Linked DNA regions of Saccharomyces cerevisiae S288C. The protein of the gene in region 3 binds, or shares a complex with, the protein of the main gene of each other region. Each region holds a gene or a part of one and is shown on either strand. Other genes may lie near its edges. A codon is read from its position in the direction of its gene.

Evidence for each region.
Region 1: the proteins of SGF11 (region 3) and UBP8 are in contact, whole or in part, in a crystal structure (PDB 3MHH), measured with the Saccharomyces cerevisiae proteins. Residues at the interface, in NP_015278.1 of Saccharomyces cerevisiae: Asn18 (codon at 749), Leu19 (codon at 746), Thr21 (codon at 740), Thr22 (codon at 737), Gln25 (codon at 728), Asp26 (codon at 725), Ala29 (codon at 716), Arg30 (codon at 713), Thr32 (codon at 707), Thr33 (codon at 704), Gln34 (codon at 701), Gln36 (codon at 695), Leu37 (codon at 692), Leu38 (codon at 689), Lys39 (codon at 686), Thr40 (codon at 683), Arg41 (codon at 680), Tyr42 (codon at 677), Pro43 (codon at 674), Asp44 (codon at 671), Leu45 (codon at 668), Arg46 (codon at 665), Tyr48 (codon at 659), Tyr49 (codon at 656), Phe50 (codon at 653), Ser55 (codon at 638), Leu56 (codon at 635), Asp57 (codon at 632), Ile58 (codon at 629), Leu61 (codon at 620); in NP_013950.1 of Saccharomyces cerevisiae: Met1 (codon at 1,760), Ser2 (codon at 1,763), Glu51 (codon at 1,910), Ile52 (codon at 1,913), Asn53 (codon at 1,916), Ser54 (codon at 1,919), Gly55 (codon at 1,922), Ala56 (codon at 1,925), Trp69 (codon at 1,964), Asn70 (codon at 1,967), Asn88 (codon at 2,021), Asn90 (codon at 2,027), Asn91 (codon at 2,030), Leu93 (codon at 2,036), Asp101 (codon at 2,060), Tyr102 (codon at 2,063), Ile103 (codon at 2,066), Gly104 (codon at 2,069), Asn105 (codon at 2,072), Asp107 (codon at 2,078), Asn110 (codon at 2,087), Val127 (codon at 2,138), Pro128 (codon at 2,141), Ser129 (codon at 2,144), Met130 (codon at 2,147), Glu131 (codon at 2,150), Arg133 (codon at 2,156), Asp134 (codon at 2,159), Leu136 (codon at 2,165), Ile140 (codon at 2,177).
Region 2: the proteins of SGF11 (region 3) and SGF73 are in contact, whole or in part, in a crystal structure (PDB 4FK5), measured with the Saccharomyces cerevisiae proteins. Residues at the interface, in NP_015278.1 of Saccharomyces cerevisiae: Thr5 (codon at 788), Ile6 (codon at 785), Thr7 (codon at 782), Ile8 (codon at 779), Asp9 (codon at 776), Ile11 (codon at 770), Arg30 (codon at 713), Gln34 (codon at 701); in NP_011449.1 of Saccharomyces cerevisiae: Asp5 (codon at 2,540), Ala6 (codon at 2,537), Glu7 (codon at 2,534), Ile8 (codon at 2,531), Asp70 (codon at 2,345), Lys71 (codon at 2,342), Pro72 (codon at 2,339).

The regions. Positions count from the first base shown.
Region 1 is NC_001145.3:714,956-718,630, forward strand, and holds UBP8 (ubiquitin-specific protease UBP8), read left to right. Parts: upstream 1-1,759; coding exon 1,760-3,175; downstream 3,176-3,675. Other genes in the region: FMP42 (Fmp42p), read right to left, coding at 1-490; FSH2 (putative serine hydrolase), read right to left, coding at 683-1,354; MRE11 (MRX complex nuclease subunit), read right to left, coding at 3,620-3,675. UniProt on the Saccharomyces cerevisiae protein: Histone deubiquitinating enzyme component of the transcription coactivator SAGA complex. SAGA acts as a general cofactor required for essentially all RNA polymerase II transcription.
Region 2 is NC_001139.9:375,853-380,160, reverse strand, and holds SGF73 (deubiquitination module subunit SGF73), read right to left. Parts: upstream 2,553-4,308; coding exon 579-2,552; downstream 1-578. Other genes in the region: ALG2 (GDP-Man:Man(1)GlcNAc(2)-PP-dolichol alpha-1,3-mannosyltransferase), read left to right, coding at 1-401; NPY1 (NAD(+) diphosphatase), read right to left, coding at 2,906-4,060. UniProt on the Saccharomyces cerevisiae protein: Component of the transcription coactivator SAGA complex. SAGA acts as a general cofactor required for essentially all RNA polymerase II transcription. At the promoters, SAGA is required for transcription pre-initiation complex (PIC) recruitment.
Region 3 is NC_001148.4:464,139-466,761, reverse strand, and holds SGF11 (SAGA histone acetyltransferase complex subunit SGF11), read right to left. Parts: upstream 801-2,623; coding exon 501-800; downstream 1-500. Other genes in the region: ELC1 (elongin C), read left to right, coding at 1-118; CAM1 (translation elongation factor EF1B gamma), read right to left, coding at 1,114-2,361. UniProt on the Saccharomyces cerevisiae protein: Component of the transcription coactivator SAGA complex. SAGA acts as a general cofactor required for essentially all RNA polymerase II transcription. At the promoters, SAGA is required for transcription pre-initiation complex (PIC) recruitment.

The DNA.
Region 1 (3,675 bases), on a different chromosome or scaffold from region 3:
ACGAATCAAATGATCCTGTTAGTAGGGCCAATACGGTTCCTGATCTTTGTGGGAAGCTATTTGCCAATTGAAAACATGAAATGAAGACGAACGGACCGGCAACTGCCAAAAGCGTGTAACCGACAAGATATGGGTCCCAAAGAGACACTAGATGCTTGGCAGAAATAAAATTACCGCTTGCTAGGAACAAGAGACATGATCCTATTATTCCGCAGACACGAGGTCCATACATATCCAAAATCTTACCGACAGGAAGGGCCATGATGTTTGTTACAGTAGCACTGAGAGCAAATATAAAATTTAATTTCAGATCCTGTGCAGTACATAATAATCTATCACCATCCTTAGGATCACACAATTCATGGTATACACCTTCTGAAATTAAAATAGGTTTCAAAGCAGCAAATCCAAAGATAATACCAGCTGAAAAAAGACACCAGATACAAGCACAGGCAACCTGTGCGTATCTCAACGTTCTTGTACTGGTCATTACAGTCTTTACTGCCCTAATACTGGCCTAACGAGGAATAAAATCATTTATAGATGCCATTGTTATCGTTATCATAATGAAGCATCGTATCGGTAGTTAAGTTAATTTGACGTATTATTACCCGGAGGATTTAATCATGTATAAATATGTATGTGAAGATTATGTGAAGATTACGTGCTATATATACTTGCCTCAGGTCAACTGCTGGAGCCATTGAGCCACTTTTCTCACAAACCCTCTTGAGTTCGGCACAAAGTGGCCCCCAGAGTGCATTAGTAAAGTGCGAGAGTCTTCCGTACAAGAGTTATATAGGCCTTGCACTTTGGCCGGCTCTGTGATAGTGTCAAGTTCTCCTTGAACATGTAGAGATGGGACCGATATTGGATGCAGGTCGTACTGTTCTTGATACTGTTGTGGTTGGAACCTGAAACCACTGACCGCCATGAAAAATTCTAGCGGCGGCTGTTCTTCTGTTGTAAGGCCCAACAAACCATTGAAATCCGTTGCTAGGTATCCAGCTACACCGGCTCCTTGACTAAATCCTACAATACCTGCAAATGGACCATTTTCAAGGACATAATTGTGTAAATAGTCGATTGTCGTCTGCGGTATGAAATAGCCACCGGTGGAAGGGTCATTCTCTAGCCACGCAAGCACACCGGTATTCTCACCATCCCCAGGTGCATCAGCAATTACCTCACCCAAGAAATCAGGAACATCAGCTGGGGGAAATTCATTGGGTGCTGTTGGATAGTAGAGTTTATATCCTAACTTTTCCATTTCGGCGCGAAACCCCTTTGTCTTAGAGGCAAAGTAGTCACCTGACTGCGCAAGCCCATGTAACATCAATACATTCTTCGTCATGGTTACAGCTATTAAATCTTATAGTCTTGTAGTATTGCACATTCTTTCTTCACTTATACCTTTTTTTTCTTCTCTATTCTTCCTTTTTTTGCTTTTCTTTGAATTTTTCAAGTGAAAAAAAATCCTCGATTATAGTGTGTAAAAAGCATCAATAATTTATATTGTATATGGGCTAGAAAGCTGTCGTAATAGCAAAGGGATTATATTAGTGGACCTGATTAATTCTAAAAAGATATTTTACGGATAATAATAAAGGTTTTCTTTTGAGACCAGTTAGTCCATTTCTTTCAACTGGCTGTCATAATTTTGAATACTATTTATTGATCGGATCAAAAGGGAAAACTACAGCTTCGGTCCTCGTCGTCCTACTTGAAACCCTGCTTTTTTTATTTGTTATTAATAATTATGAGCATTTGTCCACATATACAGCAAGTATTTCAGAATGAAAAGTCTAAAGATGGGGTTCTAAAAACGTGCAATGCTGCCAGGTATATATTAAATCATTCCGTACCCAAGGAAAAATTCTTAAACACCATGAAATGTGGTACATGCCACGAAATAAACTCTGGTGCAACTTTCATGTGTCTACAATGTGGATTTTGTGGATGTTGGAACCATTCGCATTTTCTCTCTCACAGTAAACAGATTGGTCACATATTTGGTATCAACTCAAATAATGGCCTTTTATTTTGCTTCAAATGTGAGGACTATATAGGGAATATCGATCTGATTAACGATGCTATCCTAGCGAAGTATTGGGACGACGTGTGCACAAAGACCATGGTTCCTAGCATGGAAAGAAGAGATGGGCTTTCTGGCCTGATCAACATGGGATCCACTTGTTTCATGAGTAGTATTCTCCAATGTCTAATCCATAACCCTTACTTTATTAGGCACTCAATGAGTCAAATTCATTCTAATAATTGTAAAGTGCGTTCTCCAGATAAATGTTTTTCATGTGCACTCGATAAAATTGTTCATGAACTTTATGGAGCGCTGAATACAAAGCAAGCTTCTTCGTCATCTACATCTACTAATCGGCAAACCGGATTCATATATCTTTTAACTTGTGCCTGGAAAATCAATCAAAATCTAGCAGGGTATTCACAACAAGATGCTCATGAATTTTGGCAGTTTATAATTAACCAAATCCACCAAAGCTATGTTCTTGATTTGCCAAATGCCAAGGAAGTCAGCAGAGCAAATAATAAGCAGTGTGAATGCATAGTGCATACTGTGTTTGAGGGCTCCTTGGAAAGTTCTATTGTGTGTCCAGGCTGTCAAAATAATTCAAAGACAACCATTGATCCATTCTTGGATCTTTCTCTGGATATCAAGGATAAGAAAAAACTTTATGAATGTCTTGACAGTTTCCATAAAAAAGAACAGTTGAAGGATTTCAACTATCATTGTGGGGAGTGTAACAGCACTCAAGATGCAATAAAGCAACTAGGCATACACAAATTACCATCGGTTTTGGTTTTGCAATTGAAAAGATTCGAACACCTACTTAATGGAAGTAACAGAAAACTAGACGATTTTATTGAATTTCCAACTTATTTAAATATGAAAAATTACTGTTCAACGAAGGAAAAAGATAAGCATTCTGAAAATGGCAAGGTTCCAGACATTATTTACGAATTAATCGGTATTGTTTCCCACAAGGGGACGGTTAATGAGGGACATTATATTGCATTTTGTAAAATTTCTGGAGGGCAATGGTTTAAATTCAATGATTCCATGGTCTCCTCTATATCTCAAGAAGAGGTTTTAAAGGAACAGGCATATTTATTATTCTACACCATTCGTCAAGTAAATTGATTCAGCAAATAGCATTCAACAATAATAATAAAACAAAAAAGAAGAAAAAGCTATGCATATTCCTATCACAGTTAACGCTTGCTTCCGTTCTTTTTTCTATATCATCGTTTCCATCATGTTTTTCTTTAAATTGAATACTTTCCTATGCTCTTAATGAGTTGCGATTGTGCATATACTGTATTTCAAAATCCTTTGTATCTAACTAAGGAAGAAAATTACTATGACGTTTATTCAGGATTTTTTTTTTTCATTCCTTGCTATACGAACAAAAGAGCAAAGGCTGGAAAACTAAGTGAGTTTATATATAGTAATAATTAAAGAACATATCATTATCATGAATTTAGAATGCAAATTTGCTCCTCTCAAAATGGCATACCTTGTTGTTCGCGAAGGCAAGCCCTTGGTTATAAATAGGATATAATATAATATAGGGATCAAGTACAACTATTTTCTTTTCTTAGCAAGGAGACTTCCAAGAATATCCGTCTTTGGCGTCCTTG
Region 2 (4,308 bases), on a different chromosome or scaffold from region 3:
ATGAAAGTTCTGCCACTGGGTGGCTAAAACCTGCCGTCCCTATTCAATGGGCTACTGCAATTGATGAAAGCAGAAAGATCTTGCAGAACGGTTCTGTGAACTTTGAGAGGAATGGCCCGCTAAGAGTCAAGAAATACTTTTCTAGGGAAGCAATGACTCAGTCATTTGAAGAAAACGTCGAGAAAGTCATATGGAAAGAAAAAAAGTATTATCCTTGGGAAATATTCGGTATTTCATTCTCTAATTTTATTTTGCATATGGCATTTATAAAAATTCTACCCAATAATCCATGGCCCTTCCTATTTATGGCCACTTTTATGGTATTATATTTTAAGAACTACTTATGGGGAATTTACTGGGCATTTGTATTCGCTCTCTCCTACCCTTATGAAGAAATATAATGTCTACTTAAATAAATAATGTATACCCCCCGAAGAAAAAATAATTTACATTGGAGAAGAAATCTCTAAATGCAAATAGCGTAACTTGTCCACAAACATAGACGTGTACATGTTACTTCGGCGAATAATTTTTTATTACTCACTTCGTGAACATGCTGGATAACGTGCATGATTCAATTAATTTATTCTGCCATTGTAGGGGTTCACAGAATTTCCAATACCTACTTCAATTCTCCCGTTATTGCCAGAGACATTAATACCGGTAGATACACCTTGCCCGGAGCCATTGACGCTGTTGACACTAGGGGGAGATTGGATACTATTTACGCTAGTATTGGGAGAGCTTATGGAGGCTTTCATCGTCATGAGGTTATTGTTACCGTTTTTACTACTATTATTGTTGTGGGTGCCAGATAAATGGCTATCTTGATTTGATTCTTGCATTAATTTGGTAGCGTTGGCTAAATATGAAGCAGCAGCTTCAAACTTCTGTTGTTGTAGTTGTTGTTGTCGTAGTTTTTGTTGTTGTGATTGTATCTCCAGCGGCGTGAGACCTGTGTCTTGAGACTTGTGCTGCTGCTGCTGCTGCTGCTGCTGAATTTGCTTGCTCGACACATTGGCATTAAATGATGAATTCGTTGCCCCGCCGGGGAAATGATTGGGCACCATACCTTGAGTAGGTTGTTGGGTACTGGCCTGGGCCTGCGCTTGGGGTGAGTGATGTTGCTGCTGCTGTTGCTGCTGTTGCTGTTGTTGAGAAAGAAGCTGAGCCTGTAGAGCTCTCTGTTGTTGTAGTCTTTGTATTTGTTTCGGATTGAGGTTTTGGTTTGTGAGGTGATTAATTGGCTGTGGAGTCCTAACACGAAATTTGTAATCTGTTGTTCTATCCAAATCCAAGCATCCTACACGAGAATGGATCGCACCGTAACCTGGAGATGTATATCCTGGTTTCACAGAAAAGGAGGAAGCAAACATTTCCCTCATTCTAAAATATTTAGTCCTGTATCTAACTGACGATAGTACCGTTGACTCTAGTGGCAGTGGGAAAGATCGGGATACCCCATTTAGAACCTGTGTTGTTTCCTCTTCAGGAGTTAGGTTAACGTGTCCTATCTCATTGATATTGTTACCATTGTGTACAGTACTCTTACCACCATTTTTGGCTGATTTCCCACCATTCACATTTCTTTGCTTAGACCTTTGACCTTGTTTCTGTTGCTGAGTATGTTTTTTCTGCTCTTTTTGTATCTGCTTTTGTAATTTTTGTAATTCTTGTTGCTTAGCACGTTTCTCAGCAGCTGCACCAATTTTTGTTTGATGTTCTCTATGATAATCTGCTAGCAAGACGTCGTAGGGCTTGGAACGACCAGAGACAGCCCTCTTTGCACCCATTGAATGGGACTTACATGTCAGCGAACGTGCACAGTAACCACCTTCCGGCAACTCTACACCACACTGTTTGTTGAAATCAATTAAATGCTTTTCAGTTGGGTTTCTTTGTTTGACTTTCTTTTGTTTTTTTATGGAAGAGCTGAAGGTTTGAGGAGTCCCAGTTTTCGATCTTTTCGTGTCCATATTTGGTGTGTTCGCAGATTCCATAGATGTGGATCTTTTCAAAGGGTTAAAAGAAGAGTCATTCTTCTTGTAATTGGCACCATTGGAATTATCGTCGTCATCATCAGCGTCATCATCATCTTCGTTGTCGTCGTTATCGTCATCATCATCATCATCATTGTTATTATCATTGCTATTGTCATCGTCGTTATTATTTCTCCCAGTTGATTCTACTCCATTTCGTATCGTTTCCCTAGTACTCTCATCTCTTGGATCTGTGCTACTTTTTCCAGATGCTCCCGCACAATGGTTTTCTAAGTGGTCTACAATTGCTGTCAAAGCTAAGGGTTTCCCACATTTTTCGCACACTCTATACTGAATCGGTTTATCCAAAGGATCTTCAATGAGTTGTGCATTCGGATTGAAGTATTTTTTTAGACTTTCGCGATTCATGTGATCATACTGCAAAGGAGTGTCCTTCGCGGACGACATTAAACTTTTCCATGAATCGTTGGAAGGACCACTTCCCTGAGATAAAGAATATTCCTCAATAACTTTGGGCTTAATTCCTTTAATCTCTGCATCGCCTGACCTCATTTTAGCTCTTTACTCTTTTGCGCTTCTCTTGTGTGTTCACTATTCTTATTTTTTTGGTTTATTCCGTTTTGGTAAATTAATCTCTAATGAGCGATGCTGGATATCAAAAAGGTTCTAAATAGTAATTTAGAAATTATTTTACAGCTATGAACAACTATATACGCTCTTCAGCTCCACTTTCTTCTGTTCGTAATGATTTTTGTTTCAAAATTGCTTGTACCAGCAATCTAACATCCTATATTCATTCATTTAGCATTTGCATTATGACGCACCTCTGTTTTCTTCGGGTAACTGAGTGAAAAATATCCATATGCTGAAGCACGCCTATTTATCAATGTTTATTATATTAAAAACTATAGATGGCTCGATGAGGTCTTACGTAAGTTTTTATAGTTCTCGCAAACATGATTGATTAATTGGAAGGCAATGGTAGTACTTCCAGGTAAATTGATATCATTTTTGAATGGAACACGATACCCGCCGGCGTACTTATCCAAAGCTTGAATGATTTCAGTTGTATCAAACCATTGAGCATCCAATAATTCGTCGTCATGATTCAGGTTGATAACCTCATTTTTGGAATTGAATTGAACTATGCCTAAACAGCCAATCATCAAACTGCAAGGGTAAGGCCAGGGCTGTGACCGGACTATATCAATATTTTTGCATGAAATGCCTGTTTCCTCCCATATTTCTCTGATACAAGCCTCCTCTATGGTTTCTGATGGCTCCATAAAACCTGCTATTGTTGAATACAATACAAAATCACCGTACCTTTTTTTTGATCTTGCCAGACAACACTTAGAGTAATCCGAATTGGTCAAGGCTATAATGACCGTTGGATCAGTTCTTGGGAAGCAAACGTTATTAATTCTTGCATCTCTCACATTACAGTATACATTCCGATTTTCATTAGAACACTGAAGCTTAGTTCCTGCCTCTACTGGGAATAACGGAGACCCACAACCGGGACAGAATTTGTACTTTGCTAGCCAATCCAGATACATCTTACCTTGTGAATAAAGTGAAGCATCCTCATTTGTTTGTTTGAAAATGTGATCTCTGGTCACCTTCGGATAGGAAAAAATAGGCTCAAAGTCGACTTTCTTGAAGAGTGTGCTCTCAGTAACACGGATATCTAATCCAAAATATGGTGTTCCTTTGTAAGAAATATTAGACCATTCAAAATTAAATGCAGAATCTGTGCCTTCCAGGAGACCTAAAAATGTTACATTGATGCCTGATTCATCGCTTCTTGAGCGAGTTGTGTTCAATAAAGTAGTGTATAAAGGAACTATTGCTGACAAAATATTCTTGTAAGACTTTACAGAATTAGAAAGCTGAACTAGGTCACCATTTTCGGGCGAAATGAGGGCTTCCCCTTCGATAAATGGGATAAAAACGGTAGAGTCATGGTTCAATGATTTTTTGATGAACTCTTTCGAACATCTTAAGAACGAAACTCTGTTCAAGACATGCTGGCCAAAAAAAGTCACAGCAGTGGACATTCTCTCAACTAACCGTAGCGTAATCAAAAAAAAATCAGGAGCAAAAAGGTACAATCTTTATCTTCTCTTTCGTTTCGCTCCTGCTCTTGTTCTTTATTCTTATGGTTGGTGGGCTTTATATTTCGAAGAAAAGCAACCGCTTTTGTAAGTTGGAAAAGTAGATTTATGAAGTGATAGATTAGCCCGTCTGAAATACTTATAACACGAAAACGAATGCCATAATGAAGTTGAAGATACTATAGAAAATA
Region 3 (2,623 bases):
AAATTATAATTTGAAGTACAGCGGCGTTAGCGAGGACGATGATGAGATTCCAGAGTTTGAAATACCGACAGAAATGTCGTTAGAGCTGCTACTTGCGGCGGACTATTTGAGTATATAGGTACAGGAAAAACAAAAAAGAGTTAGGAACTCTTTCAAAAAATTATATTATATGGGTGTGATGTTGCAGCATATTACTCTGATATGTAGAAAATTGAATGCATTGTTATAGCGTACTTATGTGTAACCCTTCCACATAACGGAATGCAAGGTATCATTTGGCATCATATATGGGAGGTGCTATTATAAAAACATGTAGTTAATAGCTAAAACAGTTTTCGCCTTCTCTCTTTGAGATGTTACCACATAACTACATGAACTTCTATGTGCAGATATGCCGCATAAAATGTAAGAATCTTGCTTTTTTTATGAACCTATGCCCACAAGAAATGGGCTAAAATCTGTCTGTGCCTTTTCAATTACCCATAAACCACCACCTAGTGTCAACGTCTAGCACCCCTACTCAAACATCTCTGTAAATGAGCTGCTAGTCTGTTTGCGGACACATCCCTGCCACAATTCTCACAGTGAATATACTGAGAGGACTCTTGTTGCTTCTGTAGTCCATTAATATCGAGAGATCCGTTCGGGTCGAAATAATAACTGCGAAGATCCGGATATCTTGTCTTCAGCAATTGTTGTTGAGTGGTTTCCCGAGCTACAATGTCCTGGATCAATGTGGTTAACAGGTTATTCAGTATCCCATTTGAAATAGAATCTATAGTAATAGTTTCTTCGGTCATCGCAACAGGAAAACCCCGTAACCTAAAGAATTTGAAGGATTATTATACTGCTCTGCTCAACGGAAGAAACGCTAAGTTACTTCTTCGATTCCTCAGAATCAAGAAAATAAGCAAATCACTGCTATACATATAATACATGCATCTATTATATAACAATAATCCAAGATACGAAAAGGAAAACTTGATTTTTTTTCTGCGGAAGTTTCAGAGCAGAAAAACTCTGTTACCCTATATTGCGTCATAAATAAGATATAGATAAAACTACCTAGCATACTTTATAATAAAAGGCGACATGAAGGATAGTACGAAGAGATTATTTTAAGACCTTACCGTCAACAATTTCCTTTGGTTCGCCATTGACGGAAACTGGCTTATCCCAGGCCCACATGTTATTGATGAATTCTTTGTCGTCGTCGTTAGTTGGATCCAACTTTGCATAGTCGTAAGATTCCCAATCTGGTGCGACATCGAAAGCTGGAACGTAATCTTGGCCCCTAACCATAACTGCACCAACAATACCGTTGTTGTTGTTTTCACCGTAGACTACCAGACAACCGAACATGTACTTGGTAGAGGCGGACAATCTGTTGAAGAAACCACCGACCAAGTTGTTGGACATGAAAGTCAAAGTCAATTCATCGTTGTACTTGTAGGTGACTTTCCACAGGGAATACTCTTCTGGGTTGTAGTGCTCCCAAAACCAAGGTAAAGCAACTGGTCTGGTGTCTTCATTGGAGTACTTTCTCTTCCAGTCATCCAAAACGAAAGTTGACTTGCCCAATAATTCTAATGGGTGCTTTGGTTTCTTGGAAGAAGTTTCAGTTTCGGTAGCAGCTGGCTTGGCTTCCTCCTTCTTCTTCGAAGCGGCGGGAGCGGCGGCTGGGGCCTTCTTTTCCTTCTTCTTTTGAGGGGGACTCAATGGCTTGTCAGCGAACTTGAAATCCTTGTATTCATCCTTCAAGAAGGGTGAGGCTCTAACGGTGTTGAACCATCTCACGATGGCTGGATGTTGAGCTCTCCATTCAGTACCGAACAGGCTTTCAAAGTATCTGGTGAAAATCGAGGCAGCCACCAAGTCGGCCAAGGAGATGTTTTCCGTAGCCAAATAGGTGTAGTTTTTCAATCTGTTCTCGAAGATGTCGACGATCTTGTCAACAGCGTCCATCGCAGAATCAACGCTCTTCTTGTTGTAGGGGGCGCCGCCCTTCAAGGGAACGATGGTGTTGGCAATCTGGATGCACAGATCACTGTTGGCCAAAGATTGCCATCTGATGATTTGCGCTTGGGCATTTAAGTCATCGTCGGCACCTAAAAGTTGAGTCTTCATCTTGTCGTCCTGTGAAAGCTTTACTAAATAATAGTTAATCGCCATTGCCTCGGTTAGCTTGTAACCCTTTGGACCCACGAAAGCCGGAACCTTCTTCAAGGGAAAGTCCCTTGCGAACTGTTCAGCGGCGGCATCTGGCGTAACAACCTTAACGTCCAGCTTCAAAGCCTTGACAAGACCTCTTGGGACCCAAGTTCTAATTCTGAAGTTAGCATATAAAGTACCTTGAGACATGGCGTGCAAAAACTGTATCTGATCTTGAGTTTCTATGTTCTGTATGCTCTAATAACAGAAAATACAATAACAAGGAGGGAAGACCAATTTGCGGGCTGCCAAGCAACACAACCAAACCCTGCTGATAAACGAAAACAAGAAAACTAATAAAAAAATAAATAAGGAACTCTACAAGGACTACACTAATCATGTCTCACTCCCGCGGATTGAAAAAACGAAAGAAAAAAACAGGAATCAACGCCCAACGACCTGCAGCAGCAAG